4 linked regions of the Elephas maximus indicus genome follow. The protein of the gene in region 1 interacts with the protein of each later gene in a biochemical or structural test. Links are inferred from orthologs where the notes say so. Each region holds a gene or a part of one and is shown on either strand. Other genes may lie near its edges.

Region 1 (7,742 bases):
ATATCCACACTTGAGATAGGATAAAAATCAGTTGGGGGCAAAAGATAACAATTGTTGTTTTCTTCCTCGGCTAAAGTGTGTTAATAGCAATCTTCTGACCCTTTCGGTGTAGGTAATAGTGCCTCGAACACACAGGGAGACAAAGTGCTTGCGATAGCTACCTTGCTTTTATTCATTCACCAAAAGAGTTAAGAACTGACGCTGGCCATGGTTTTGGGGGCGCTCTCGCAGCACCAGGAAAGGGGGCGGAACTAGAGCCTTCCCGCTCACTCCAGCAAAAAGGCTACTCCCCACAGAGAGGCGGGTGGGTCCCGAAGTGGCAGGCCGCAGGGAATCTGCTCCTAGATCCTCCTACCCTGTCCCCCGCAATCCAGCGGAGACGGCCAGAAACGAGCTCTGGCAACAGGTGGGCCTGACTCCCAGGATGGTTCTGAGCCGCGGTGCCACGGCGGCGAATTGTGAACTCCACGACAGGTGGGAGCAGCCTCGCCAGGAGTGAAGCCTTGCCCCCAGACGGAGCTCTAAAAATAAGTCAGGTCTACGAAAGCAACCCCCGGGCCAAACGTCTCTGAGGTTACAAAGAAAAGGCATTTTGGCAGAACATATCAAGAGGTGCCTTTAACCCTGGACCGGCCCCTCTTCCCAGGACTGGATGCCGTAAGTCGCTCCCACCTAGACACGGAGAACCACTCCGAACCCGAGCCAAAAGTGGACTGCCCTACAGGGAGATGAGCTGTCCTGGGTCATGCCTAAGACTCCCAGGCGAACCCGAGACAGCCAACAACGCCAGCCACCTTGCCCTGTGAAGAAAAAACACTGCCAGCGTGCGCAGCGATCTCTAGCTTAAGCTAATGGCAATCCCCTGGAAGTCAGGGGCCGCCGGTGTGCGAGAATAGCCAGGCAGCGGTCAGAACTTTAATACGCAGCCCCAGCCGGGAAGGGCAGATTTCACCCTCTCAGCTCCTGCAGAATCCCTCAAAATCCACTCCACACGGTCATCCCCTAGTTGGACCACGAAGGCCAGCAGACTTCGATCCTTGGAGGGATCTTTGTGTGCCTGCTCTGCTCGCGCCCCCCCGCCCCCTCTCGCCCCCGCCCCCCACGCCAAGGGCGCCGAGCTCAGGACTTCCGGGCGGGAGGGCAGTTCGAAGGAGCGGGGCGGGCCCCATACATGTGCGAAGCGCGCACACGAGCGAAGGGAGGGGGCAGGGACGAGTGGTTGGCTTTTTCCTCCTCCCAGCTCGCTCCGCCGGAGGAGGCGGAACTATTCATTTCACCAATTAGAAATAGGGGCGGGACCTTGCGCCTCACGTAAGCCGCAGGAATCCTCCCTCCGCCCTTCTAGGAAAAAAATCCTAGCAACTTAAACTCCGGCCCGGCCTCCCGATAGGCGGAGCTCGGGAGAATGTCACCCAATTGGTAACCAAGAAGAGAAAAAGGGAGTCTCGCCCAGCCAGTAGAAAACAAGAGGAGGCGGAGCCTCTGGAGGAGCCCGAGGTGGGTGGAAGAGACGGCCCCGCCCTCAGCTACCCTCCTGGCCGGTTGCACAAGGCTCCGCCGGAGTATAGTAAACAGGCTGGGCCAATGAGTGGAGGCAGGGGCAATCCCGGTGCTCCAGGGGTCCGGTCCCCTCTGCCTCCTCAGCCGGCGTCCCCGCCCGACCCCCGCAGTTCGCGCCGGCGCCTGCTTCCCCGCTTGCAGCCTGCCGGAGGCCGCCATCCCGACTGACAGGCGCGCTCCCTGCGCCCCTCCCCGCCCGCTGATGCATTTCCTTTTCCCGATTCCAAGCGTGGAGTCTGTTTTCCCTGTTTCCGACCTTCACTGCCCCTTTCAGGCCACCCCCTCGGGGGCGCGCGCAAATACGCCCGCGCCCGATTCGAGGCCGAGCGGCCCGCAGCGGCACCTCGCGGGAAGGGGGAGCCCGGCAGCGGCACGGCCGGGGGAGGGGGAGGGAGCAGCCCCGCCGCCGCCGCCGCCGCCGCGGGGTGGGAGGGAAAGGAGGGAGCTCCATGTTTGCAAGGGGATCAGCTGGGGCTGCGGGTCGGAACCGCCGAGTTCCTGGAGGTTTTCCAGACCCCCGGGCCGAGCTCAGCGCCGGTTCGCGGCCTGGCGGGTTCCGGCGCCGAATGCCGACTCCACCGCCACAGCCCGGGAGTTCGGAGAGCTCCGGCCGGCGCATGGGGCTGTTGCCGAAGCGCGGGGACTCTTTCCGGTGGCCTCTCCCGCCGCCGGCCGCCCCTCTCGCAAGTCCGGCGTTGCCCCCGCCCCCAGAGTCCCTAACAACCGCTGGCCCTCGGCGCCCGCGCCTCCCGGGGGCGCGCCCACCGGCCCCTCCGACAAGTTTGCGGGCAGAAACAAAACCCCTGGGGTGGCTGCCGCCTTCGTGCAGCGTGGTTAGCGGGGAAAGCCGCGGGCCTCGGCTCGCTTGCTAACTCCAGCTCTCGACCAACTCCAGGCACCGCGAGCTCAGTGGGCCCGGCCAACCCGGCTCGGGCCGCCGCCCCCTGCCGATCCCGCGCGCCGCAGCCCGGGCCTGGTTCCAGTCGGTGTACGGAATCCCCCATTTTTCTTTACAAATTTTTTCAAAAGGGAGGGACATTCCAGGAGCGGGGAATCTCCTTCTGCCTACCCCTTGCCCATTCCGCCGCCGAAACCTACCGAAACCGACTGCTCGGTGAAATAAACTAGGGAGCACGGCTGGCGCCCTGGCGACCCCAGGCCGGGCCGGCCCCCTCCCCACAGCTCCCGCCCGGCTTGGAAACACACTGGCAAGCGGGCGGCGCCAAGAGCTCTCCTTCCTGGCCTGCCCCTCGCCTCCCTCAGCGGCCGGACTCCGAGCCTCCCCCTGGCTCCGTCCCGGGGCCCGTGGCGCCCGCACCGCCGCGGGCTGGCCAAAGCGAGCGGCCATGGACTAGCCCCCCAAACGCCGGAGATTGGGGGGACCAAATTAAAAGCAGCTGTTTAACATACCTTCCGAGCCAGGCGAGGAGTCCTGAATGGGGGGGAACGCCCCCCACGGGCCATTGGCTCCCCGCTTCTAACGTCAGTCATCCTGGGCCCGCCTTCTCTCCTTGCCCCGCCTCTTCCCCTTCATTGCACGCCCCCTCCCTCCAAAAAAAATATAAATAAACTCTCCGCGAGTGGGCGGCACAACTGTGGCAGAGGTCCCTGTCTTCTCAGTCTTGGAGTTTGAGGCCCTCGAGCCGGAGGGAGGCCTTCTGGGACTTGAGGATCCGCAGGTGGACCCGGAGGAAGAGGGAGCTGGGCTGCGCGGCCCCCACTTCCTTCACACACACACATACACACCCTTCAGAGCTGGACGGAGAGGCGGGAAAGGGCACCCTAGCGCCTGGCTGGAATATCTGGCTGTGACCTAACCGTGTCCGGTGCCCTCTGTTATCGCCTAAAAGTGAGTGATGCAAGTGGGAATCCCTGCGTCCAGGACAACAGGCACTTGTCTGAGCACCTTCGGGTGAGGCAGACACGTTAATACCGCGCCTGCTGCTGGGTCCGTTCACAGAGGCCGGATGAGAGGCTCACTCCACACCGTCCAGGGACTCCCGGTCCAGCCGAAAAGATGATACAGAAAAAGCTAACTCAAGGCAGGAATGTGTACATAAATAGACATCTCTAGGAGCTCAGGGAAGGGAGATTCCTTCCAGCTGAAGGAAAATTAGGAAAGGTTTCATAGAGGCATTCAAGTTGGGTCTCGAAGGAGATTTCACCAGGCAGAAATGGAAGGGCAAGTCATTTTTCAGCAAAGGGCACAAAGGGGTAGGTGTGAAACATTGTTAAGGCCCTTCAAGTGCAGCTGGGATAGTTAATGAAAATTAAGGTTGGAAAGATGGGACCAGAGGAAGGCTTATAATATTTGGTTAAAATGCTTGGACCTACACAGCTGAATGTGTTTGAACAGGGTGGTCACAGGGCCACACAAAAAGGCCCAGAATTCTGGTCTAAGATGCTCAGCATCCCAGCGGCTGGATGGGTTCTGAGGGTGGGCTGAGTGAGGAGTGCCTAGGCTGTTGCAATGACTGGTTGGAAAGTACAAGAGGCACATTGTAGCGCTCGAGTCAAAGCGCTACAGATTCTTCCCTGCATCATTTGCCGAATTTGTCATAACTCCCAACCAAAAGGATTTCTGGTGGGGGGGAGTAGGAGGCACCCCACAGGCCTGTGCTTAATAGAACTGAGCCTGTGTTCGAGGTCCAAAATGTGTGAGCAAGAAAGACCTGTTAATTGAGGCAGCCCTACCCGCATTGGGGCAGTGAGGAAAGGAAACTGGTGTGGATGAGGTGGGATGTGCAGAGTATGATGGGCCTTAGAGGCCTGTGGGCAAAATGGGGGCTTGCTGCTGTTTAGGAGGCTGCCTCAATAGTTCAGGTGAGCTGTAATGAGGACCTGACTGGGGCAATGAGAGTGGGGAAGGAATAGGAGAGAGATGTGTTTTGAGAAAGACTCAAGGGGAGCGGGTGACTGGTTCAGTGTAGGTAGTGGAGGGAAGGAAGTAACCAGTAGCATGCTGTGTGAGGAGGTGTATGAAGAATTTGTGGCTAGTGGTTGGGTCATCTGGGTTCTAAGCCAGTGACTGGTGACATATCCTTAGGCAAATCCCTTTCTCCCTCTGGACCCATTTTCCCCCTGTGAAATAGGGGTGGAAATTGGAGTAGAAAGACATCCTCTAAAAACCCTTCCCTCTGAGTTCATGTACCTGCCCCAGGTGCGTGTGTGTTGGGGTCCGGGGGATCCTTCCACTAAGAGAAAGGGCAGGTAGGAAGGTGATTTGGGAAATGTAGTGGGTCACCCCAGGAGTCTCCGCTGATGAGATCATTGAGGGGAAAGGCCAGGAGATGAGGACTGTGTGTTTAATGGCAGGCCATGGAGGTCAAGCTTCACTCTCAGACCAGAGACCCCCTGATGTCTGGAGCCCCCATCTCAGATTCCTGCTGTATTACCAAGGGGCTCTGCCCTCACGGAAGGCATAGCAGATACCAACCGAGTCAGTGTGGGATGAAGCAGAGTGCTAGAGCAGTAAGGACGCTAGCTTGGAAGTTGAGCCCCCTGGTCCCCACTCAGTCCCTTATTATCTGTGGATCAGCCTCCCCTCTTGTAAAAGAGGATAACATTATAATCCTTGCCTTGCTGTTCTCAGGCTTGTTATGGGGATAAAATATGATGATAAAATGCTCTTTAATACACCTGAGTTTCTGTGCTTCTGTGGAGACCAAGGACCCAAGCATTTGATTGAGCCTGGGAAGCAAGTAGTGTGCTGTGGATGAAATTACTTACAGAGCATTTGCAACTAGAACAGCTGCCCCCCACCCCAGAGAACCAGGTTTCCCTGACACTCCCAGCTTTAAGTGTACCACCTTGTTGCGGACTCCCCCCTCAACACCCCTAAACTGACCTCAGGAGTTACCTTGGAAGGGCTCCAGTGATTGTTTCTGACTCAGTACACTGATGCCTGCACAGCCAACCCCAGCCTCTGTGAGAATAGTTGATTTGGTGACACTGGCCCTCCAGCTACACTGAGGGTTGCATCCACATCCCCCTCTCCATGCCAGTGATGACAGAACAGTGAATATACCTGGGTGAGAGCCCTTCTTGGAGAAGTCATGTTGGGATGCCAGGTTCTGATTCCCAGGAGGCCTCTTTTGTGTGAAACATCCCACAAGTTTTTTGAGTTAGGGATTCTTAACCTTATTTTCCAGATGAGTAAACTCTGAGGCTCAGAGCAGTAGAGTGACTTTCCCGTGTCAGGTGGCCAAGTCTATCCGGGCTCATAGCCTGAGTAGCCAAGTCTATCCATGCCCAAAGCCTGAGCTGTGTCCCCACATGCTGTCTCCGTACACACTGGTGCCTGAGATGAGCTCCAGGTTGGGACCCCTACAGAAAAGTCTCCCCTCTTGCTCCACACTTCTCACCTCCATAAATGTAACAGCAGTTTGTCCCCAGAGAGTTCATTTCTAGCTTTTTCAAAAAAATTATCCTCCTCAAAGAAGCAAGATTTGTCTTGCAGTCACACACATCATATGTCAACTCACAATACACATACTCAAAACTATCACACCTTCTGACATCCACAATTTCACAGAAAACTCACACACACAAACACCCTCATTCACAAAAAGAACTCATTCACAGTTCTTTAGGGTGCTTATGGTGATTAGAGAAATTTAGAGCCTGCACTGCAGTGCCCTGCTGCCAGAACCTCTGGCAGCTGTAGAAGGCAGCCACAGCCTGCTGGGGAATATCCATGTGAGGAGCATTTGAGGCTTTACTTTGGAATCGGAGGCTAGGTCCCTACCCCCACCCCAAGCACCCTATAGCTTCAAGGGGAGAAGCTCAAGCTATTGGTCAGGATTCTGGTTCAGCCACTTCCCAGCTGGATGGCTTTATCTTTATCTGTAAACTAAGAATATCTACTTCGGTGGGCTGTTGTAACATTAAAGTATGCCTAGCATTTCGTTAAGACTTCTCCAACTTTTTTCGTCATCCCATCCTCACCCCCTCTTCTCCTGGTCATTCAAATGCAAAGTCCCTGAAGTTGGAGTCCTAGCAGTGAGTCCAGGAGCTGGCCTAAAGGACCAAACAACTCTACTATGTGAAGAAACTCCATTTCTCTAGCAACCAGGTGGTGTAGTAAGTTGTTTATATTCCATATTCTGATTCCTGGGTGGCCTTGGAGGCTTGGGAATTTTGAGTAGGTGTTAGACTGCCATTCTGTGTCTTCAAGTACCTTCCCCTCAGTGTGAGTTTACCCCTCTGGGTTGCTTCCAGCCCAAATCTGGAAAATCAATATAACTGTCTGTTTCCCCAGGTTACCTGGATTTATGCTTTAAAAGTGTTTCCTTCGTATATCAGTTGTTTGGTAATTATTTTCTTTAAGTGGCAGATGCCCTTGTTCAAATGAAATCTTGGGAGGGCTAATATGTAAGAGACAAAAAGTGGGGCTTGCTTTGGTTGAAGTGGCAGTCAGAGCACTCTAGTTTCTACTTTGCCTTCCACTTGTGCCTCCTCCTTCTGACAGCCCCTGCCCCAGGAAGACAGCTAGCGAACCCGTTTTTCCAAATCTTGTTCATTCATCCCAACCATTCCCCACCTCTCAACAGCCTGTGACAAGCCAGCCTGGCTTAGCCTCAGGTTACCTCTGCCTATTGCTCAGTATCACTGAGGGGCTTTTCTTCCTCTACCCATCTTCTAAATGTCGGTGGCCCCCACAGGTCTCTCCTCTCATCTTGCCCTCCTCAGTCTTGGCTGATCCCACCCACTACCAATGCTCATTGCTTCTATGTAGACAAAGTCCCAAATTGGTATTTCCTGTCTAGTATCTGTCCTGAACGTTAGACTCGGACTTCAACTGGCTCCTGGACACAGGTAGTCATTAAAGGTCAAGGAGGTAAAACAGAGACCCCACAAGATGAAGGGGCTGACCTCTGCTCCGTTGCACATCTGCGCAGTCCTGAGGCTTTCAAACTATATTGTGGCTTAGAGAGGCAGACAGGTTCTAAGGTGGGGGAGGAGTAGAAGAGAGTGAGCCTGGAATGGGGGAGGGGACACTGTGCCTTTTTATTCTTTTTTTTATATAAATATATACTACTGTTTAAATCTCAGTCTTCCTTTCCTACTGCCATAGTTATCATCTTAACAACTATCATGAATATATTACCCTAAATTCCTGAAAAGGAACCACATTCTCAGCCTCTGTCCAACACTCCCAGTTAGGATCTTAGAATAGTTAG
Region 2 (7,769 bases), on another chromosome or scaffold:
GCAGGACTGTCCCTCCCAAGGGCCCTAGGGCTAGGATTCTGCAGACAGCAGGTGCCTAATTATGACCCCTCATTCTGTCTTTCCCCAGGCCTGCCCAGCCCCAAGTTGCAGCATCGGTAATGCATCCCGGGCCAACTCTGTCATGTCCCAGGCCCCTATTCCCCAGGGCCACCCACGGCAGTGGACACCACCAGGCCTGGCCTTCCTCTCCCAGGGGGCTGGACAAACCAACACACCTACATTTAAAAGAAGCCGTGGTGGTACCGCAGCTGGGGGAAAGATGCTAAATAAATGGAGATTTATTTTTTTAAGCACGTAACATCGAAACCCGTCGCCATGGAGTCGATTCCAACTTAGCGACCCTATATGACAGACCAGAATTGCCACGTAGAGTTTCCAAGGAGCCACTGGTGGATTCGAACTCCCAACCTTTTGGTTAGCAGCTGAGCTCTTAACCTATGCACCACCAAGGCTCCATAATGTCCAAAGCCCTCTGGAGACTGAGTCACAGGGCCTTCACAAAGAGGCCGTTCTTCAGGAGCTGTGCCATCCTGACCCAGCATCACTACTATAAATGGGCTCGGGAAGCAACGAGAGAACAAGACAATCAAGGCCCCCAAGGATCTGCAAGGGGGTGCACCCTGACCTCCCCTACTCTGTGGAGGCAGCACGTGGCTTGACCCCAAACATCCACACCTCCTCTGGGGTACCCTGAACTCTGCTCTGCAGGCTGCAGTCTTGCCCTCTCCAGTTGTGCCATGGAATCCTTTTTCTTCACTAGCTTAGAGGCCACCGCCACCATCATGTGGAGCCCACAAACACTGAAGGGTCCCGAGAAGCCTTAGCCACACCCCTTGGGTGCCTGGGTGGGAGGTGGCCTGGCCACCCAATGTGATCTTTTTTTCTGCCCCTCTCTTTATCTTCCTCCACCCACAGAAGCCTTTCCACCTTCGAAGACCCCCAAATGCTCCTCTAGCAGAGATACTGGGACTCCACTGCCTTGAAGAGGAGTACCACCCAGGGGCCACTCAGCTGGGAGGTGGAGGGGCCTGGAAGAAACCAGGAATCCATACAAAATCCTGTTCTGGCACCCTGGGTCCCAGTCTATGGCTCCAAGCAGTTGGGTGAGACCTCAGGGAAAGGTGGGAACCATGCCCTACTCTGTGACCAGCTTCTCCTCTCCTCCCTCCTGGCTCTCCAGCCCCCACCGTCTAGCCCCTCAGTGTAGCTCCCCACGTCCAAAGACAGACTCAGTTCCTGTGCACATCAGTCCAGATCCTCACTTCGTCTTTAGGCGGCAAGTCTCCAGCCATAAGCGGGCCGTGGACTGAGCCAAGTAACCTCCACATCTACCCTGAAATGCAGTAGAAAGACAACCTCGAGCCCTTTTTACAAACGACAAAACTGAGGCCTGGGGTCATCCCACACAAGATCAGAGCTTGCCCCGGGTCCCCAGCCCTGCTTTCTTTCCTCTCCTGCGCCTCCAATACCAAGCCCAGACTGGCCACCGGAGAGCACATTCCCCGTCCCCAGGCCAAGCTCCGAGTGTGGAAGAAGCCCTCAGGGTAGTGAGGGTGGGACCCACGGAGGGGGCAGAGCGAGGGAGTGAGCCACAGCCGGAGAGAATGACCACCCAAGACGGTAGGAAAGGACCCGCACATTCAGCAGGAAAAGGGGTAGTCCACAGGGAAACTGGTGGGGTGACCAGGACTCGCCAGGCTCCAAGCACTCGCTGCACCCCAGGCGGGGCTATGCTGTGATACGCTCTAGGGTGGCTTGGGCACCTCCCCGCAGCCGCGCGCACCTTCCCAGTTCCCTCCCCAGATGATTCTCCTCCCCAGGTGGTGGGAAAGTGCGCTAAGGTTACTTGGTGAGGACTAGAGCCCTCTAGGGTTCCCCTCTCAAGTCCTCATCTTCCCCTGACTAAACCCCCCCACCCGTGCACCCAACTCCGCCCTCCGCCTCGCTGAACCTCAGAGCCATAGAGAAAACGTGCCGCGTCCCCCCTGGCCCCACGCCAGACGCCTCACCGCCCTCCGGGCCGAGTGCGCGCGGCCACCCGAAGCGGCGACGCGACTCCGCCCTCTTTACAGATAAGAAGACTGAGGCTGGGGAAAGGCAGGGCCTTGCTCGGCCTCGGTGGGCTCCATCCACCGCGCCCACCCCCAAGGCTGGACGGCTGGGGGGCCAACCGGGGCACGTCCCGCCGCAGCCCCCAGGCCCTCGGGCCCGGTGAGCGCCGACCCGCGGCGGCCGCCATCCGCGCGCCCGAACCGCGTGGCCACCACGCCCCCCGCGCGCGCCCCACCCACCGAGGCACCGCCCTCCGCCTTCCCTCCTCCCGCCCGGCGCGGCGGCGGCAGCGGCGGCTCGGGCGCGCCCCCCTCCCCGCCCCCCGCGCGCCACGCAGTTTCGGGGTCCCGGCGGGGGGAGGGGGCGCCCCGAGCCCGGCTCACCTGTGTGCGTCCGCAGGTGCGACTTAAGGTGCGACGACTTGTAGTAGGCTTTGGCGCAGCCCGGGAACGGGCAGCGGTGGCTCTTGGCGGCGGCGGGCGCGGCGCCGGGGGCGCGAACCGAGGACGGGGACGAGGCGGCGGAGGACGAGGAGGCAGGCGAGGCAGCCCCCGAGGCGGCGCCGGACCCGCCGCGCAGGTCGGCCAGGATGCTGGCGGCCAGCAGGTGGGGCGTGGCGGGCGCGGGGCCGGGGGCGGCGGGCGGCGGCGGCGCCGGGGGCCCAGGCGGGCCGGGCTCGCGCCGCGCCGCGCGCACCTCCAGGCCGGCGGTGGGGCCGGCGCCCTCGGGGCCCGGTCGCCCACGGTGCACCACGGCGCCCGAGGAGATGGCCATGAGCACGTCAGCGGCGAAGTAGTCCACGCACGCCACGGCCGCCGACATGCCGGAGGGCGCGCCGCGCGGAAGGCAGCAGGAGGCGGAGCGGCCCGGCCGGCGGCGGCGGCTGCTGCTGCGAGTGCGGGAGGCGGAGGAGGAGGCCCGGCGCGCGCCGCCGCCGCCGCCGCCCGCGCTCGCCGCCCCGCCCCGCCTGACGCGCCCTGACGCACCGGAGCCCGCGGGGGCGGTGGCCCGCCCCGCCCGGAGGACGCCCCCTCGGGGCGCGAGGCCCCGCCCCCGAGCCGGCCCGGCGCCCCGCCCCCGGCGCGCCCCGCCCCCCGGCGCGCCCCGCCCCGCCCCTGAGCGCGCCCTCCCCACGCCGGCGGCGGCCGCCCGGAGCCCGCCCCTTCCCGGCGCGCCCCGCCCCCGGCACGCCCCTCCCCCGGGGCGCGCCCCTCCAGCACGAGCGCGCCCCGCCCCCTTTGCGGCGCGCCCCGCCTCCTCGCGGAAGCGCCCTCCCCACGCCGCGCGCGCGGCCGGCAGGAGCCCGCCTCCTCCCCGGACGCGCCCCCGGCCCCAGAACGCGCTCCGGGCGCGCCCCCGCCCCGGTGGAGGAGGGAGGGCTGCGCTCCCCACGTGGTCGAGGTGGGGGTGCGGGAGCAGCCGGCCCCGCCCCCCGGCCACGTGCGCGACCCTTCCCCCTCTCCGCTAGGCCGGCCTCGGGACCTGCCCTGACCGCGCCCCCAGCCCCGCGCTCCTTTCTCTGCGGGTGCCCCTCGCCCACCCTGGAGCCCCGGGGGCCTCCCCGATCTGGGCAGCGGAGCGCCCCGCGTCTGAGTCCGGGAGAGGTGGGGCCTTTCGCTCCCCTCGGGTGACTGGAGCCTGCCTTCCTCTTTTTTGCACCCCGTTCCGGGGTTACTCGTGCGTGTCCCACAGGGGGCGGGGAGGACCAGGGCCCCCCTAGAGGGCCGGGGGTCAGAGAGGGGAGCCGGGCGAGGCCGCAAAGGAAGGGGCGGGGTAGGGCAGCCTGTCCGGGACAGTGGATCCCGGCCACCAGGGTCGGGGCCATCTCCTCCCTGCCAGGGCATGGATTTTGCGGGGCTTGGACGGGGAAACTGAGGCCCCGAAGCCGCCGAGGGCGTCCAGGCCAAGTTGTTTTATAGCGGCGAGGACACCGAGGGCGCAGATGACTGCCTCCGCCCCAAAACCCCGCAGACCCCGATGGAGCGGCCCTTCTGCCGCGACCACGTCCCCGCCCTTCCCCGACCCAGCCCTGCAGGGCCTGGAGTGGCCTCCAAGGGGAGAGCCGCTTCGGCCTCTCGGGCCTCCCTGCTGGTCACCTCTGCCAGCTCCGGGACCCGCCCTAGCCTGGGTGTGGGCAGCCGCCGTGACCTTGGCCCCGGCCTTATTCTCCCCACAGGCAACCCCAGCACAGCCTTCCCCTCGCCGGGCCGTACCCCCCGTGTGCCCAGCACACGTGGCTGCACTGAGGGGGGAGGGGAAGAGGCGGGGCGCCGCGAGGGGCAACCTGTGCAGAGACAGGTGAAGCCAGGTGCAGGCTGCTTCGCGAAGGAAAGAAGCCCACCGTGGACCACGCGGTCGGCGTTCCTGCCGGCCGGGTCCCTGTGCCTTCGGGTTTAGGAGGGTGGGCCCTCTGGGAAGGTCACCGAGCCCCCTCCGTCTCAGCAGCCCTCGGAGGCCACTGACACCCCCCCCGCCCCCCGCAGAAAGTCCGTGGTCAATGCTCCCTTGCCCCACCACCCAGCCCAAGGAGGTGCATCGTGGCACCCAGCACACAGAGCCACGTCGGTGCTCGTGCGGCTACCCAGACCCCGAACAAAGCGAGAAATGGGACGGGGCACGGCCACAATGCGGCTCGTTCCTTCCGGTTCCCCCGAGGTTTATTGTGCCTGAGACAGAGAAACCTCCCGGTCCGGCTCTGCCCTGGTGAGGCTCACGCTGCGGGGAGGGGAGGGTAGGAGGCAGACTGGTCAGTCCACCGCACAGGTGAGCGTGTACACGCCAGCCCAGGTGAGCTGGGGGGAACGGGCTGCGGAGACACTCCCTCAGCCCAGGCAAGGCCTCAGGGATGCGCAGGGGGCGCGCTGGCGGGCTTATGCGCGCGGCTGATGTACGAGAACACCCAAGGCCCTTGGGGAACGGGGGGCAAGGTTAGGGGCACGCCAGAGAATGGGGCTGCCGAGAGATCAGGGTCAGCCTTCTGTGTCCACCTCCTTCCTGGGGATAATTAGGGCCTTGAACCTGTAGCCTCTACCTGTGGGCACGCCAACTGCTTTGCAGGCAGGCGCCTCCATAGGGAGGACGCACAAAACCTCAACCCACCCAGGGAGGGGGGCCTGGGGACTCCTGGCCGCCTGCTTGGCTCCTGGCCCCCAGGGCCGAGGAGGGTTTTATAACCAGGTGGAGCCACCCCACCCCAACGTGGCGCCGCCCAGGTGCCTCCCCTATCGGTGCTCAGCTCTGCGGTGTGTTTTGTCCTGTCTGCACCATGGTCTTTATCCCCATTCCACAGATGGAGAAATCAAGGCGGGCAGAGGTCCAGGGAAGGGTTTACTTGTGCTCACAGCTACCAGGCAGCGGCTGAGCTCTGGAGAAATACAAATGGAAGCTGGCTGAGCATAAATCCCTGTCTGGCAGATCTTTAAGCCTCAGTTTCCTTATCTTTAAATAACCAAAAAAAAGCCAAACCCAGTGCCATCGAGTTGATTCCGACTCATAGTGATCCTACAGGGCAGAGCAGAACTGCCCCATAGAGTTTCCAAGGAATGCCTGGTGGATTCCAACTGCAAACCCTTTGGTTAGCAGGCATAGCATTTAACCACTACACCACCAGGGCGCAGTGGTTAAGAGCTCAGCCGCTAACCAAAAAGGTCAGCAGTTCAAATCTACCAGCTGCTCCTTGGAAACCCTATGAGGCAGGTTCACCCTCTCTTACAATGTGGCTATGAGTCGGAGTGGACTCCGACTGTATCGGGTATCTTTAAATAGGTCCCTGTAAGTCCGTCATCTGTAAACCCATCCCTGACACCATCCTAGGGGTTCAGGGAAAGAGCAGCCTGGTGTCACTGGAGGGGGACGGGGCAGGAAGAACATGGGGGAGAGATCTCTGTTAGGAATACCAGTAGTCCAGACCCTGCACCCTTACCTGAAGGTGGGCAGGAGAGCACAGAGCCTCCTGTGGTACAGGTGAGGAAAATGTTACATAAATCGGGGCACAAGGACACCCCGAAATGAGTGCATCCATAAAGAAGATGGTCAAGGTAGGTTAGGGTCAAAGACAAGGATACCATGTTGTTGTTAGCGACCTCATGTGAGAGTAGAACTGCCTGTAGGGTTTCCTAGGTTGTGATCTTTATGGAAGCACATCACCGGGCCTTTCTCCCACGAAACAGCTGGTGGGTTAGAACCTCCAACCTTTTGGTTAGCAGCCAAGCGCTTAACCATTGCACCATCAGGGATCCTAAGGGTACCATAAACCAAAAAACCAAACCCATTGCCGTTGAGTCTATTCCAACTCCTAGCAGCTCTATATGACAGAGTAGACCTGCCCCATAGGGTTTCCAAGGAGTGGCTGGTAGATTCAAACTGCCAACCTTTTGGTTAGTAGCCTGAGCTCTTAGCCACTGCGCCACCAAGGAAACCGTAGAGGAGAATATATATACAAGCTAGAATAGCTGTTAATGATCCTTTTTTTTAAAAGATGGTGAGATCTTTGCTTTTTGTTTTATAGCTTTCTGTACTACTCAACTTTTTTTTAGCTGCTGGGTGGGTTCGAACTGCCGACCTTTTGGTTAGCAGCTGAGTGCCTACCCACTGCGCCACCAGGGCTTCTCAGCAGGTACCCAGGCGGTGAGATCATGGGCCACTTTTCTTTTTTTTATGCTTAATTGTAGAGTTATTTTCTGAATTAATTTTTAAGTGACCATCTCCCCATGAGTGTGGGCTGGGCCTAGTAGTGCCTGGCTTTGAAAGAATGGAGCAGAGAGGGGAAGATAGTAACTTTACCTCAGGGAAACCTGGCGGCCCTACCATCACCAGGTTAACCCAGGTTAACATCCCTGGTGGTCACGTGCTGGCAGGGAGCCCCAACAGGATGTGACTGGGGTACTTCACTTCTGTGTGTGTGTGTATCATCACTTCTGAGGACGTTTGGGGGCTTGGAGGCAGCCCCACACAATGCGGACACTGACCAGGACCCACTGATTTGCCACCTGCCTGCCATCGGAGGCATTTGAGGGTGCACCCCCCAACCTCTGTGTTGGTCCTACTTGCGGACAAGATACAGGAGCCTCGTCCATCCAGGAGCAGGTGCTCTGGGAGAATGTTAGACTTTGGTGTAGAGCCTTTTTAAAGATTGTCTGTTCTACATTCTCCTCCACAACGTGTCTGCCTTTATTCTCAGTCTGATGTGTTCGTACCATGATGCTTAGGGGGACAGAAGGCTCAGTGTAGGACCAAGGATGCAGGCCGGGCCGTGGGAGATGGGCACCTGGCTGTCCCTGTCCTCTGCTTCCAAGCACATGTGGAAAGCTGCCAGCACTGAGGGGAAACACCTTTGGGGGTTCGCAGCCCCCTGTGTGGCCAGGGGACAGGGTCTGGTCCTTTCTCGGGTGGAGGCAGCAGGGGGCCGGACCTATGGGAGTCTCACGCTTCCTTTCACTTCCTGATTCCTTCCTAAACCCCTTAAAAAATAATAATCTATTTTGTTTTTTTTGTTGCTGAGAATATACACAGCGGAACATAACACCAATTCAACAATTTCTACATGTATAAATTCAGTGACGTGGATTACATCCTTCGAGGTGTGCAGCCATGGTCAACCTCCTTTTCTGAGGTGTTCCTCCCCCATTAACATAAACTCACTGCCACCTAAGCTTCTCATCTAACCTTTCGAGTTGCTGCTGTCAATTTGATCCCTT
Region 3 (7,918 bases), on another chromosome or scaffold:
GAACCCAAGGCCTCCCTGGACACTGCTTCCACCGACATTCTTCCCACCAAAACTCACCTGGGGCATATTCAGAAAGACTGGCCCTTCTGAATAGGATCTCCGCTCCTCCCCCTGAGAGGGGCGGGAGCCCAAGTCCAGGTTGTGGACCTGGGTCTTTACTTTCCCCCTTTCCCACTGAAAGGCCAGCAGTTAGGCTGTGGTGTGGTCCAGTGTGGTCTGCCTCGCCCACAGCGAGTTTCCAGGAAAGATGGGGGTGGAGAGAGAGAGGGTGAGAGGGAGGGAGAGAGAGTAATGGGGGTCAATGGTTGGGAATTACCTCATGCCCCTACCCACCAGTCCAAGGAACAGCCACTAGCTTTCTGCCTCCAACCTGCAGGTGTTTGGAGCCAATGGGGGTATCTTCTCCCCCCCCAAAAGAACCCTACACCTGACCAATCAGGAATAACTATTAAGTCCACGAACAACAAGCCCTCCCGGAAGGCTTCTTGGAACATTTTCAGACCCTCCAACCGGAATCCGTCCCTTTCAGAAAAGCAGTATGCTTTCTAAGCGCGACGTGTCTACGCGGTTGCCTCCGGAACCCGGCTGCAGCCACACAGAGAGGAGGTCATCCGGGACCCCGCGGATGGGTTGGGGGATGTGTATCAGAAAACGAGAATCAAGTCTTCAAACCCTGATCCACGGGGCAGAACCTCAGAGTGCCTCCATTCTCTCCTTGACCCCCACCTCTTATTTCCAGCCCAAAGCGAAACCAGAACCCAACTCCAGGGGCAGTCCTTTCCCGAAGGAATGGAGTCGCAGCGGCGTGAGCAGAAGGGGCGGGGGAGGGAAGGCAGTGTACCTGGTCCATTCAGGTCCGTTCCTTTCTTCCTACATGTTAAGAAAAAACCAGGGGTGCGGCAGGGAGGGAGAACAAGAAAAAGAAAAACAGGGATGGCGGGGAATTCCCACCTTCTCCTCCGTCCTCCGTCGTCCCTACGCAATGATTTTCGATTCTTTGGTGCTTGGGCATAGTAGGGGAGAATTCTAATAATTAGTTACAGCAATAAATAAGGCAAAATGGAGTGTAAAAACAAACCTGACACTGCTTCCGAGGGTGTAACGGGATTTAGTTTGCCCTCCCCACCAGGGTTTTGTTTAATTTGTTTTGCCTGAATCGTCCAGTTTATGATTATACATCGAAGTCTTGGATTATTTGCGGAGGCCTCTTTCTTTTTGCCCCGGGTTGGTGGAAATATAGGAATAATTCTTTCTTGCGGTTTCAATCCAATGCGGGAGATTGTCTTTCTCCTCTTTTAATCCAAATTGGGGTGGGGGAGGGCGGATCCTCTCACTCCCTGTTTGTTAGTTCAGGGTTAATTTTCGCTTTAAGGCTGAGCCTCGGTGTCAGTCCCTATCTCCATATTCTCTCCACCCCAAACCCAGCAACTTAAAAAACAGAGGGGAGGGAGGACGCCGCTTTGTTCTTCCTCCAAAGGAGCCAAAAGGAAAGGGACAAGCCGCCTCGCTCCTGGATGATCATTTTAATTAAAATAGGGTGTTAATGATAATGCTGATGATAATGACGACCCCAGCATTAGCAACAACAACTGGCAAAACAAAATCCTTTCTTCCCAAGCTTTGGCAGCACGGACCCGGACCTGGCAGGCGTCACGACGCAACGGGCACCCGTACCCACGCACGAAGGGCGCTCACCCGGGAAGGGGGTCGAAAAATGCCCCCCCGACCATTCTGAGGGTCCCCACCCGAGGCGCAAACCCTGAAGGATGCGCCCATTGTCCTTTTAGGGCCTCTTCCCCAGACCCCGGCGGCCGCACCCGCGAAACTGACCAGAAATGGGCGAAGCCGGTGTGCGACACGAGCAGAAACCCAAGGCTACCGGCTCGAAGGCGCCGGCCTCGGCTAGCGCAGCTCAGCTTCGAGCCTGGAAGAGCCTGCTGCTCTCCAAGGAGACCCCAAACACCAAGGTACAAACTGGCCTCTGGACAGAACAGCGGCCAACCAGGCTCCGTCCGCCCATCCACGCCACCACTGGCTCCCGAGTACATCATAATTTGGAATAAAATGTGAAATCCCGATCCCCGCCCCCACGCCGCCGTCCCACCAGCTTCTGGATCTCCCCCTCGCCCTCGCTTCCCTCCCCCACTCCAGCGATTGCAAAAGCACCTCTAAAGGACACAGGCACACAACCCAATGTGGCCAGGACCACACACGACTCAACCCAATAGAAGGAAAACAAAGTAAGCACAACCCAGCACTGATCCACAAACCGGTATGGTCAGGCCTACACACCGTCCAACCCGACACAACGAAATCGGTCAAACAATCGCTCATGGACACACAACCCAACCACACACGCCCGACACAGCAACGAAACCATCCAAATACAATGGCAAAGGCTACATAGCCCAACTTAGAGCAGAACACGCAAAACCCCACGCCTGTAGAAAAGGCTGATAAGAATAATCATATGCAACGAAGAAAACGCAAAGAACTCATTGAAGGGTCCCAGTCTACACACCCAAACAGCGCAGACACCATCACACTCTGATACACAACCTATTGCCAAGAAGACCTCACTCCAAAACAGTCAACATTGCCACAGCTCGCATCCACGCATTCTCACAATCCCACCGCATGCACACAACCACGAAGAAGAAATGAAAACCAACCACCGTCTCGCGCATTTCTGTATATTGCGTAAGGAAAAAGGGGAAGGAAGGAAGAGAGTCTTCGAGGCGGGAGGGGCGGCGGCGGCAAGGGCGGGGGCGTCGTGGAAAATGCGCCCCATCGAAAGAAACCGAGTGGAAAAGAGCGAAGACCTCTTCTGCGGGCGAGGGGCGGGGGGCGAGGGGGACGGAGGGAGGAAACTGAGGCAGAATTTCCTGGGAGGCCGCAGGTTGCCTTTTGCGTAGAAAAGGCCAGAATGCTCACATTTTGCCGGTTCGGGGGGGACGCGTGTGGCCATTTTGAGGCCTGGTCCTTAGCAGCCGAGGCCCGGCCCCCTCGCCCGCCCCCTCCCCGCCCGGCGCTGCGCGACACCCGGGCTCCTCTACCGACACGGTCTAATCCCGCTCACGTTCGAGGCCTCGTTAGCATGGGCCGAGGCGCGCCGGGGCCGTGTGCGCCGCAGAGATAAGGCACTGCCGCGGGTCCGCCCGCCCCCGATAAGCGCCTCGGCCATTATGGGCCAAATGATTCATTTTAATTTGGCAATTTCACCGGAGGGAGTAGGGACGGGTTGCGCGGCGCTGGAACCGGCTCCGGAATCCGCTACCGAGAGAGGGGCGCGCTGTCTAGGACCAGGCGGGTCCAGCCCCTATTTGTGATTCTGAGGCCTCTCGGGAGCTTTAGCTTCCCACGATCTCATTCCCTTGGCCTTCCAGACACTTTTCCTCAGCGACTTTCACTCCAGCATTCTGTCCCTGCCTCTGAACCATCCCCTCCTAAACCTCTCCCCAGTATTCATTCATTCTTTCTCCAGGGTCCAAAAATAAAAACACCCGTTGCCGTCGCTTCCATTTGACTCATAGAGACCCTAAAGGACAGAGTAAAACTACCCCATAGGATTTCCAAGGAGAGGCTGATGGATTTGAACTGCCGAACTTTTTGTTAGCAGCCTGAACTCTTAACCACTGCGCCACTGGGCTTTCTCCAGTGTCCTAGACACCCGGATTTCAATGGAAAGTTCCCCTTATCCTAGAAGGCTCCCCAGCTTCTCCCTGACTACTGCCCTTCAGCCTTGGTCCTGTTCTTGTCTAAAATGGAGCCTGCTTGGCCCTAATATCCTGGACTGAGCTCAAACCTAAAGGGCTCTCTGGGAGGGTGGGGAGGGGGTCAGAAAGTTTAAAGCCTGGGAACACCTCTCCCCATAATATTTGTAACAAACATTGCTACTGAAGCACTGTTCTAAGGACCCTACAAACATTAACTCAACTAAGTTTCATAAACAGTCCTATGAGGTTGTTGCTATTATTATCCTCAATTTACAGATGAAAAAACTGATGCACAGAGAGTAAAAGTAACTTTCTCAATGTTTCATAGCTAGTTAGTGGTGGTGCCTTGTTTAGAAGCAAGCCTGGTACCAGAGTCCTTTCTGGAATGCCACTGATGAGGAGCAGCAGCCAGACCCTAGACTTGGGTTCAACTCATTGAAGGAACCAAGATCTGAACTGTGGGCTAGGAATCTGAGTTCAGTGAGGGGTGGGTGCCTGGGGCTCAGCCTATGGAGGGTATCTGGATTCATTTTTTCATGGTGGAATGGAAAAGAGCACAAAAATCAAACCTTACAAGTCACTTAGCTCTGAACCTCAATTTCCTCATTCGAAAAATGGGGAGATAATGCCTACTTCCACAGAGTTGTAAGGATTAAATAAAATGGCCCTTAAAATGTGGTGGTGGGAGGTGGTAATCTATGGAACTTCACCCAAGGACTGAGACAACATCCTAGGCACTCGTACGGGAGTTCCAGTTATCATTTTTGAGAAGGAAGTTAGGCACAGAAAGAAGTGGCTTGGCCAAAGTCCTCCAGTGATGCAGAGGAAAAGCCAGGTACTGAACCCAGGTGTCCAACTCCCAGCCCCAAACTCTACCCACCATGCCAGGCTGCTTTACCCTTCCAGCATCTCTAGTTTTGAACCTATTTGGAGTCTGAGAACCGGGGAAAGCCCCTAGTCTGGGTACAGACTGAGTCCTAGTCAAGGATTGAGCTCATAGTCTGCCCCTAGCCTGAGCCCTCACCCCTCTAGTCATCAGTCTCTGAGAAGGCATGGTTGGGTCTACAATCTGTCCCCTCTGATTCTCATATGCTCTCTGACAGAAGTCAGGATGCCGTATGTATAACTTTCACAGAACTCCACAGGAGAAGGGCAGCCTGTGTCCTAGGAAAAACAGTCTAATTCCTGGACTTGCCAGGAGGCCTCAGCTGGCCCAATCACACCAGCTACTCAGCAGGGACACAGAGGAGGGGCCTCTATGGTCTATTCATCCCCATTTCCCACTCTCTCCTCCAAGGCTCCAGTCCTGGCTGCCTGAATACTCCCAAGTCAAATTGCACTTTGCTTCCATTGTGTCTTAGCTTCTACTGGTCCTCCTACCTTACTTCCCTCCTCCTCTCACATGCAAAGCCCATCCATCCTTCGAGACCCAACCTTTCTGCCACTTTCTCACTGAAACCTTGCATCTCCCCAGTTGGATTTGTTGTTTCACTGCTGTGGTCCCCATTGCCTTTGCTTGGCTGCATCACTCAGTAGGAAGAGTGGGAATCACATAATTCTCCATTTGAAGTCCGGCTCTGCCACCCTTGGGCTGTAGAACCATTGAGCAAGTCATTTCTCATCTCCGAGCCCCTGTAAAATGGGATCAACTGTTCGCGTATCAGAAAACCTGACTGGGGAATACTTCCCTGAGAACATGATGTCTGGACTGAGATCTAAGAGTGGGACTTGGGGTGGGAGGTGCGGGTGTAGATAAAGCAAAAAGAGCCTTCTAGGTGGGCTAAGGGACCAGCTGACCCGCAGGTTGAAGCAGAAGGGCTGTAGGTTCATGAGAGCAACAAAGGAGTCCGGTATGTCTGGAGGAAACCTGGGAGCCATTTTAAGGGTTTTTTGAACCATTTCGTTTGGTTGGTTTGAAGGTGCAGCATCCTATACAGAATCAGATTTGCATTTTCAAAGAGCTCTTTGGCCGCAGTGTGGAGAAGGGATGTGTGTGGGTGGGGAGGATGCAGGGAGGCCAGTGTGGAAGTCAATGTAGTGGTCCAGGGGAGGGGTATTGGAGCTTGAACTGGGGTGCTGCCAGAAGAGACGGTGCAGAGGACAGGTGTTTGGCATGAACACTGGGTTTGTAAGGATTTGGTTTGGGGGTGAGGGAGAGGGCAGACCCCTGGGTCTCCAGCTAGATGTAGGTGTTAGCCCTGGAGATGGGGGGTCTGCAGGTCAATAGCATAGGAAGGGATTATCCATTTGGTTTTGAACTTCTTGAGTTTAGATGTCTTTGAGACATCTACAGACCTTTGGATTACTTTTCCAGGCATTAAATGACCTGCCTGGCCCCTCCAAGCAGGGATCTACCAAGTAAAATATCGCCTAGGGTAATTAGTGTTAAATTGCTGAGTGATCTCTCACAGCAGGCGATGGAAACTGTGATGGGCAATAAAAAAACCAAACCCTGGCCCTCCAGATGATTCAGACTCATAGCGACTAAAGAAACTGCTAATTAGCACCCTGCCTCAAGCAGCTCCCAGTTCATGCACGCGACGCCCAGGGCAAGGCGCCCTATCTGCCCCCACCCCCACTCCTAGTGAGGCCTCTGCTTCCGAGGGCTGCCGTGAAGGAATCCTGGCAGGTTGGCAGGTGGAAAGGCCTTTGTCAGCCCTACCATCTGTCTGCGGGAGGCGGAGAAAGTGGCCTTCACCACCCCCACCTCCAACACATACGCACCCGTGAAGCTCCAGATCCTAACACCGCCTGGCAGCGGCCCCTGACTTCGTCCCCCAAACCCTCCCCTGGTGCGGGGGGCTCTGACGTCTACACTCTCCCCCCTCCCTCATTTCCGACAGTCGGCAGAAAAAACGGAAACTGCGCACCAAGCGGGGCGCCGCCCGAAATAGCATCTGGTGCCTGTCGGTCAGCGCGTTGTCCGAATATCCCTGAGCGAGTGACGTGGTCCGGGGCCCCGCCAGGAAATGCCACCCCTCCTCCACCCGCCCCCAACTGGGCCTTAGTCGGGCAGGAAACCCGGAGCGCCTGGGGCGGGAGTGGCAAGGGGGGAGGGGAGGCTGGGACCCAGACTGGTAAGTCTGGAGTCTGGTCCTGGAGCGGCCAGAACCAGGAAGGCCAAGAGAACAGCCCAGCTAGGCTTTGGGCCTGAGGCCGTGGTCGCCATTCTCCAGCCTGCCCAGCGCCCTCTCCTGCTCCAGCAAGACTGGGTTCTCCTAAACTTCCAATCCAAGGCTTTTGACATGTTTCAAGTATTTTTGCCTACCCTGCCTCTAGGTATTAGACCATCTCAGGACTGCTGGTGGCATAGTGGTTAAGTGCTACAGCTGCTAACCAAGAGATGGGCAGTTCGAATCCGCCAGGCCCTCCTTGGAAACTCTATGGGGCAGTTCCAGTCTGTCCTTCCTATAGGGTCACTATGAGTCGGAATCGACTCGACAGCAGTGGGTTTTTGGGTTTTTTCTGATCTTTTGCCCTGAACTTGTCCTCTGGGGGGATGTGATGTGTGTTCACTCTGATGGGCAGCAAGGTTTATCCTCAATAAATGTATAGGGCAGTTACTAGGTCCCTGGAGGGCACAAACGGTTTGCACTGGACTAATAACCTGAAGGTTGATGGGTGGATCCCACCCAGCAACACCTTGGATGAAAGACCTGGAGATCTGCAGACCTGGTGATTGGCTTCCATAAAGTTGGTTGGTGTTGTTAGGGGCCATCCAGTCAGTTCTGACTCATTGTGACCGTATGTACAACAAAATGAAACACTGCCTGGTCCTGCAGCCATCCTCACAATCGTTATTATGCTTGACCCCATTGTTGCAGCCACTGTATCAATCCATTTCATTGAGGGTCTTCCTCTTTTCCAATGACCCTCTACTAAGCATGATGTCCTTCTCCAGGGACTGGTCCCTCCTGATAACATGTCCAAAGTATGTGAGATGAAGTCTCTCGTGGTCCATGCTTCCAGAGATTACAGCTAAGAAAACCCTGTGGAGTAGTTCTACCTTATAACATATGGTGTTAGCATGAATCTGAATTGACTCCATGGCAACAGGTATGTGCCAGGTACTGTCCTAAGTACTTTATAAATATAGATTCAGTTAATCCTTACAACAGCCCAATAAGGCAGGGACTATTATTATCTGCGTTTTGTAGGTACCCAACTGAGGCACAGACAGGTTGAGCAACTTGTGAAGAAGA
Region 4 (7,807 bases), on another chromosome or scaffold:
GCTTTGTTTTTCACCAATGCCTTCAGTGCAGCTTGGACTTCTTCCTTCGATACCATCGGTTCTTGATCACATCCTACCTCCTGAAATGGCTAAACACTGACCAATTCTTTTTGGTACAATGACTGTATATTCCTTCCATCTTCTTTTGGTGCTTCCTGTGTCGTTTAATATTTTCCCTGTAGAATCCTTCAGTATTGCAATTTGAGGCTTGAATTTTTTCTTCAGTTCTTTCGGCTTGAGAAATACTGAATATGTTCTTCCCTTTTGGCTTTCCACCTCCAGGTCTCTGCACATTTCATTATAATACTTTGTCTTCTTGAGCAGCCCTTTGAAATCTGTTCAGCTCTTTTACTTCATCATTTCTTCCTTTCACTTTTGCTACTCTGTTCCAAAACAAGTTTCAGAGTCTCTTCAGATACCCATTTTGATCTCTTCTTTCTTGCCTGTCTTTTTAATGATCTTTTGCTTTCTTCATAGATGAAGTCCTTGATGTTATGCCACACCTCGTCAGGTCTTTGGTCATTAGTATTCAATGCATCAAATCTCTCCTTGAGATGGTCTCTAAATTCAGATGGGAAATACTCAAGGTCCTACTTTGGCTTTCATGGACTTGTTTTCATTTTCTTCCTCTTCAACTGGAACTTGCATATGAGCAATTGATGTTTTGTTCCATGATTGGCCCAGACCTTGTTCTGACTGATGATATTGAGCTTCTCCACCTTCTCTTCCCACCGATATAGTCGATTTGATTCCTGTGTATTCCATCGGGCAATGTTCATGTGTATAGACATCTTTTATGTTGTTGACAAAAGGTATTTCCAATGCGTAAGTCATTGGTCTTGCAAAATTCTGCTATGTGATCTCCCGCATGGTTACTATCATCAAAGCTATATTTCCCAACTACCGATCCTACTTCTTTGTTTCTACAGTTTACATTCCAATAATCAGTAATTACCAATGCATCTTGATTGCATGTTTGATCAATTTCAGACTACAGAGGTTGGTAAAAAAAACTTCAATTTCTTCATCTTCGGCATTAGTGGCTGGTGAGTACATTTGAACAATAGTCTTATCAACTGGTCTTCCTTGTGGGAGTAGGGATATTATCCTATCACTGACAGCACTGTATTTCAGGACAGATCTTGGTATGTTCTTTTTGACTCTGAAGGTGACAGCATTCTTCATCTCTATATTAGTTGTAATTTATTAGGCAGTCAGAAGTTGGTTAGTATTTTTACCACACTTTTACTACATTGCTAACTTTGCTTAAGATTTCTCATTGCATATTTCCCTGTTAATAGTTATACTGGATGTCCTCAGGCAGAAAAACCAGTTCTCACAGCATACCTTTCTCTTAGATGTGCTACCTTTTGTTGTCTTGAGGTTTGCTTTGGGAGAGAGAAAATTATGAACCTAAAGTTAAGAAGCACGTAACAAGGCCTAGGAAAACTCTAGAGTGGGTGACAGTTGACACTCCTCACCACCATAAAATGGTGCCCTTGCAGACTGGGCCTAAGCCAGTAGTGGCCCAGCTATGTAAACAATCCAGGCCACTTAATGACCACAGGGAGCATTTGGAGTTCTCACCATTGTCTCTTGTCTTTGACTTATCCAGTCCATAATTTTGAGCATCCTAGAACTGCATTTCAGTCCTGACTGCTCAAACACAGTCAATTTTGCAACAGTAAAATGGTTTTAAAATAGGGTTTTACTCCAGAGGGAAGAATCCTCACCCAAGAATCACAGTGCACTTTGTATGATGAATTTAAGCCATTATATTACAAAATAAGGGATAAATCATATTTTTCACAACACTACCACATAGGAACAGTTGTAATTTTGAGAGTCAAGCATCTACATTAACCAGAGTCTAAAATAATAGACCCTCGATTTAAAATGTCCTCACATTCTTTCACACTTCATAAAGCTAAAAGTGAAATGGTCTCAGCAAACATTGACTTGTTGGTCCCACCAAAGTCCTGCTTTTCAAGGCAAAATTGGAACAAGAGATCTCTAAATCGCAAAGGGCCAACAGCTTACTGTGTGTAGCTGTTATTAGTCTTAATCGTGAGGTGGGGAAGAAGACACAGCGGTTTGCAGAGAATAAGAGATTTATTTCCCTTCTTAAATCAAACGCAGGTTCCATTCTCCAACTGCTCCCTAGCCCACTCGGGGCAATCGGGGTTGTTTACCATATTTTCGTGTATATTTTAGGTGAAGATGACAGGCGAGGGAAGGTTAAAGGGCTGTGACGAGTCCGCGGAGTAAACAGAGGGGTTCCAAACCGAAACCAAACCCATTGCCATTGAATTGATTCTGACTCTTACGGGTTAAGGAGGGCTTATTTATTTATAAGGCGTTCAGCCTCTCAGCTGTTTCTCCCTCGCTGGCATTGGAAAGCTCGCAGTTCTTTGGAGAAGAGCAAATTTGGCAGGAATGTTCTTTGTGCCCGCCTCCCTGTTTACAGGGGGGAAAAAGGAGCTGATTTAAAATTACAGCGCGGGGGGGGGGGGGCGGTGGAGAGAAAAAGTTTCCCCCGGCACCACAATGCCCCTTTTCCCCCTTGGTCAACACTGGGCCACCAACAAGCTTTTGGTGCCACCCGGAGCCCTCCCCCTCGTCCCCTCCCTTTCTCTCTGCAGGCTGGCTCTGGCAGGCGGAGGCACAGTTAAATTCCAGCACCTTCTCCACATAGTCCAAACTACTACGCACTATTACTGAGCTGCCCTTCTTTTCGCGGCGCCTCCTTCTCTCCTCCAGCCTCCCCAGAGGAGCCCGCGGCGTCCCGGGGGGAAGCCCTCCGGGGAAAGGACCGCGGGAGCCCAACTCCAGCAGGCTGGGGGCCGAGTGCGTCCTGCGCAGTGGATGTGCCCCAGGCACACGCGCGGCACTGAGCCGGCGCCTTGCAGACACACACTGTTCCACGCATACGGCCGAGCTGTCTCGAGCCACATTCTTGCACACCGCCCCTCCTCCCCCCCCGCTCGCCCGGAGTCGCTGAGCTGCGCGAGTGACAGGCTCGCCCGGCCAACCCGCGCCCGGGCGCGCAGGGAGGAACGGCGCGCGGGGCCAACAGCGGCGCGTCTTCCGGCGCCCGCGGAGGCGGCGAGGGTGGGACGCGGGGCGGAGCTCGAGTTTAGGAAGAGGAGGGGACGGCTGTCATCAATGAAGTCATATTCATAATCGAGTCCTCGCTCGCTGTTTCTGTACTCTGGGTGACTCAGAGAGGGAAGGGATTCAGCCAGCACACTCCGCGCGAGCAAGGTAAATATAACTTACAACTCCTTTCTCCGCGGTCCCCTCCCTTCGGCCTCCCAGCTGCCGCAGCCGCCGCGGAAACCCGCGGCCGCCGCCTGCGCCGGGGATTATGCATTATGATCCTAATGATTATTTATTGTGCATGCACGGAGACCAAAACAAACAGGCGGGCCGAGCGCCACAACAACAACAAAAAAAGCCCGCCTCCTCCCCGCGGGCCTCAGGTGGAATGCGCTAACAACAGCTCCCAGCGGCCGTGGAAGAAACGGGAAAGTTTCCACCGAGCTTGGCCTTGCTAATAATAACAGGGATCGCTACGACTGAAAGGGGGCAAGGAGAGACAACAAGCACCAAACCACAGCCTTGACCCTCGGGAGGAGGTGGCGATGCGCTGCCAAGTCAAGGTTGCAACACACAGACGCACACACACACACACACACACTCGGCAAGGTTGCAATGCCCCCAACCCCTTAAAAACCTGGAGAGAAGGAGGGTGGCAGGAGGATACGGGAGGAGGATGCAAACGCGACCATCCATCCCGAGCAGTCCTCCCGGGAGGAGTTGGAAGGGGCGCTGGAGGGCGAGGAGCTCGCGGGCGGCGGGGCGCCAGCGATCGCGGCTGCCACCCGCTCCCGGGGACTTGTTTAAAGGGCTCGGGCTGCAGGGACGTGAGAGAGCGGATAGCGGCGGGAGAGCCGGAGCTGGCGCGCCTGGGAGGCGACAGGCACTGCCGCCGGGCCGGTGCGTGCCGGATCGGAAGTGTCACCTCCACTTTCCTAGTTCCCTCGGGCGGGGATGGGGGCGCTGACTGGCGGGCAGGCCTGTGGGCACGGGGGCTAGCGGGGAGCTGCCTCCCGGGCGCTGCGGCAGTCCCTGCGCCCGGTTCCTGGGGACGGCGCGGGCTTGGGTGTTGAAGTTCAAGGTGTCCGGCTCGGGCCGCAACCTGGGAGGGAGGGAGGGAGGGAGAAGCCGGGAGAGGGAGGTCGGAGGTGCTCTCCGGGCTTGGTTTCATTGCCCTCCCCCTCCCTGGGTCTGTTTTCTTGTGCTTCAAGTCAGCCCCTTGCCAGCGCCGCGGGGAGCGCGGGCGTGGGGCGCCCGCGATCGTCCAGGTGCTGGGGGCACGCGGGGCCCGGGAGAGCCACAGCGGCTGCTGGCCGAGAGGCCATGATCCGGATAATCCTCTCTGCCTGACTGTCACAAACAGGACCCGCGCGCACCCGGGCAGCGGCGGTGGCGTTCGCCGGGTAAGGGGAAGGGCTGCGAGGGGAAGGATGGGGGGGTTGGCGAGGGCGGGAGGCGGGGAGACCGGGTGGGTGCCTCCTCCCAACGATGACACGCACCCCTTCCTCCTCGCTCCCTGCTTTCGAGTTTGCTTTATTCTCATCCCAACCGAGTATGCCCCTTCATCGGCTCTCCCTCGCCACCTGGCTGCCTGCCCTCCTCTCGTTGGCCTTGCAAAACACGGCCATGCCATCTGCAAAGGTGTCGCGATGCACTTCCCCAAAAAACCTGGCAGGCACGCCCGCCCCTTGGGGACCTCCGGCCGCAGGGCTCCCGCCAAGCCGGGTGCCCGGGGTGGACTGCACCGGGCCACGCAGCCCGGACGCGGTTGCCTGCGCGGGGCGGGCGCAGCAGTGCGGGCTCCGAGGACCCCTGAGCCCTGGCCCGGGCACTCGGGGCCGGTTTCCGGTGCGCGCGGGGAAATCGCCTACTGCCAGTGTCTGCGCGCTCGCCCCCGCCGCCTGGCTCGCCTTCTGATGGTGATCCGGTGGCCTTGCGCGGCGGCTGGTGGTGAGCACCCGGCTAGCCGGGCTGCCGGGGTGGGGCGGGGCGCCGGGAACTTGGCGGTGGATCAGGCTGGAAAAAAAAGTTTGGCAGGGCGGCCAAGTGCGGCGCAGGGCGGAGGGGCCGCGAGCCCCGCGGCCGGTGGGTACGCGCGAGAGTGTAAGTGTGTGCAGGGCTCGGGGAGCCGGCGCGGGCGGCAGCTCCGAGCCGGGGAGGCCCGAGAGGCGGGCGGGGGCCGGCGTGTGCGCGTGGCTGCGAGTGTGAGTGTGTGCGCGCGCGGGCGGCGAGAATCAGGAAGTCACCGCGGCGAAGCGCACAGACATGTTTGATCGCGGTGACATGACGCGCGCCCGGGAGGAAGCGGCGGGGGCCGGGCCCCGGGCGCGGGCCTAGCGCTCGCCACCGACCCCCGCGCCGGCCACCTAGGCGTCGCCCCCGCCGGCCCAGAGCCCCGCGCCGCTTTTTGTTCCGTGCCGCTAGGTAAGGAGCTTGAGCCGCCGCCGCCCGCTACGCGCGGAGCTCTCCGTCGCTTTCACTGCCGGCCCCCTCAGCTCTCCGGGCTGGCTCGCCTTTCCTGCAGAGTCAGGCCGGCGGGGTACACGGGCTGTCGGGGCTGCGATCGATGGCGTGGAAAACTTTCCAGCGGGAGGCTCCGGGGAGGGAGAAGCAGGCCTCGCCGACCACTGTCAGTCCCTCTTCCTTCAGTCTGGGGAGGAGTTCGAGTCGCTGCTCCCTGGGGCTGTTGCATGTTAAAACTTCGGGCCTAAATGCGCCTCAAACTCTCGCAGGATTTACTCCAGCCTTCAAATCAATGCTCAGAGCCGTCAAGTTGGCCTTGCCAGGCGTTTGGGGATTTTTTTTTTTTTTTTCCGGGAAGGAGGGAGGCGAGGGAGTGGGGGTGTTGTGCAGAATCCATTCCATCGTTAATGTCTGCACCGTGTGTTATGTAATTTTAGTAGCACATGGGTGCGGAGCCCACGCTGGGCTGCTCTTCTCCTTTGTTTATATAACTTTTGGGAGAGTTTTGCCAGGTTGTCGCCTTTTTCCCCCCTTCCCTAGCCTGGTGGAGGTTGGGGTTTTTGCAATAGCAAGCAGCCCGGGTTAGTGCTTCATGGAACGATGTCATTGCCCTCTGGTCATTATGGAGACACGTATTTCTGACTACTTACTGGAGGTGTAACGTCAGATCCAACGTGAAGAAATGAAAGATACACGTTTGCTGGTTTATTGCAGTGACTGGTTATTTTTAACATCTGTGTGCTACCAATTGCTGGGCTAAATTTTCAACTTCCATTTCAAAGCAGTTTTTTCTTACACCTGATTGTGTGCCTTGCTTGTATAAACAAAACGGATGTTGCTCGCCGGTTGAGTAGAAGAAAATTCTTGGCCAACTACCTAAGACTCAGAAAGGACTACCAAAATAGAGGCCATCTCCAATGTTATGTGTGCAAACATATTTATATACATATTCACATGTTTGCAGAAATATTTTCCATCAGTTGTTTTGCGGGGAGGGTATTGTAGGCTTGTTGGCCAACACTGGACTCCTAAGGCTTCCAGGCTAGGTCTTGCACTCTAGTGAAATGTTCAGAGGTGTGGCTGGTTGGAATCCCAGTTGGTGCACTGTTATGCAAATTGACACACACATTTTTTAGGAATCTAATTGCCTTTTTTGGAAACCCTGGTGGCATAATGGTTAAGTGCTATGGCTGCTAACCAAAGGGTCAGCAGTTCAAGTCTGCCAGGCACTCCTTGGAAATTCTATGGGGCAGTTCTAGTCTGTCCTATAGGGTCGCTATGAGTTGGAATTGACTCGATGGCACTGGGTTTGGTTTGGTTTTGGTTTAATTGCCTTTTTATTCTCCTGGACTTTTTTTTTTAGCTCCCCTATAATCTCTTAGATTCAAAAGATATTTATTGAAGTAGACTGAGAAATGCCCTGTGCATTAGAGATCTGTCTGCTTTGTTGGAGGCATGAAGGAGAGATGCCATATTACTAAAGACCATTTTAAAATGAACCAGGAGTTTGGGGTATGAGAACCCTGGAAGAACTGGCCCAGGAGAGGGAGAGCTTTCCTCCATGTGGCTGCCCCTCTCAGCAGCTGCGTCCAGCATCCGGACTGGCTGCACTGTGGTGTCTCAGAAAATATTCACCGCAACACTACGTTCAAAGCAGCCTTAGATCTTTTCTTTTGTTCATTTTTAAAGTGGTTTTTGAGCATTTCTTGTCAAGTTTCTTGAAAAGTGCTTTGACCAACACCCGAGGCCTGGCATTGCCAAAAAAATAAAAAATAAAAAGTGCCTCAGCTGGCATTATATTGTGAATGCTTGAATTCTGCTTAAAATATTATAACTAGAAAGTACTGCTGTGGCAGATAATGATTGTAGATGTTTTTTCTTTGATTAAGATAAGTCATTCTGCCGGTCAATATAAAAAAGGATGTCTCGTTTTTTTCCCCAGGAGAGTATCGTGATACCCCTCAGATTACTGGGATGTTTGGGCATTTCATTTTAAAGGCTTGTTATGGTGTTGTAACAAAACCATAAAAGAGAAGCGTTTCATAAATTATAAAAGTGGCGCTGTCCTCTGGTGTTTGCTGGTTTCTTTCTTTTTTTTCCTTTACAAGTCTTCCTTTGTAAACAAGGCCTTTGTTTGTCAAACTCTCCTAGGTCAGCAGCTTTTGGATACTCCAGAGAAATTTAAATCACTATTTATGACATCTTGACACATTGCCACGAGAAGGACTAAATTCTCACCAATATA

What was found.
Region 2: the proteins of SIN3A (region 1) and KLF16 form a complex in vitro, tested with the Homo sapiens proteins (2 studies listed by BioGRID). The link is inferred for Elephas maximus indicus from reciprocal best matches to the Homo sapiens genes SIN3A and KLF16.
Region 3: the proteins of SIN3A (region 1) and TAL1 form a complex in vitro, tested with the Homo sapiens proteins (2 studies listed by BioGRID). The link is inferred for Elephas maximus indicus from reciprocal best matches to the Homo sapiens genes SIN3A and TAL1.
Region 4: the proteins of SIN3A (region 1) and SMARCA2 form a complex in vitro, tested with the Homo sapiens proteins (2 studies listed by BioGRID). The link is inferred for Elephas maximus indicus from reciprocal best matches to the Homo sapiens genes SIN3A and SMARCA2.

Annotation. Positions count from the first base shown.
Region 1 is NC_064831.1:65,381,126-65,388,867, forward strand, and holds the start of SIN3A (paired amphipathic helix protein Sin3a), read right to left. Parts: upstream 3,009-7,742; 5' UTR 2,971-3,008; intron 29-2,970; exon of another isoform or gene 1-28. UniProt on the Homo sapiens protein: Acts as a transcriptional repressor. Corepressor for REST. Interacts with MXI1 to repress MYC responsive genes and antagonize MYC oncogenic activities. Also interacts with MXD1-MAX heterodimers to repress transcription by tethering SIN3A to DNA.
Region 2 is NC_064821.1:1,608,467-1,616,235, forward strand, and holds the start of KLF16 (Krueppel-like factor 16), read right to left. Parts: upstream 3,005-7,769; 5' UTR 2,896-3,004; coding exon 2,457-2,895; intron 1-2,456. UniProt on the Homo sapiens protein: Transcription factor that binds GC and GT boxes and displaces Sp1 and Sp3 from these sequences. Modulates dopaminergic transmission in the brain.
Region 3 is NC_064821.1:89,888,882-89,896,799, forward strand, and holds the start of TAL1 (T-cell acute lymphocytic leukemia protein 1), read right to left. Parts: upstream 3,005-7,918; 5' UTR 2,937-3,004; coding exon 2,935-2,936; intron 2,075-2,934; exon of another isoform or gene 58-2,074; intron 1-57. UniProt on the Homo sapiens protein: Implicated in the genesis of hemopoietic malignancies. It may play an important role in hemopoietic differentiation. Serves as a positive regulator of erythroid differentiation.
Region 4 is NC_064827.1:8,528,332-8,536,138, reverse strand, and holds the start of SMARCA2 (probable global transcription activator SNF2L2), read left to right. Parts: upstream 1-4,803; 5' UTR 4,804-5,015; coding exon 5,016-5,184; exon of another isoform or gene 5,185-5,202; intron 5,203-5,237; exon of another isoform or gene 5,238-5,523; intron 5,524-7,807. UniProt on the Homo sapiens protein: ATPase involved in transcriptional activation and repression of select genes by chromatin remodeling (alteration of DNA-nucleosome topology).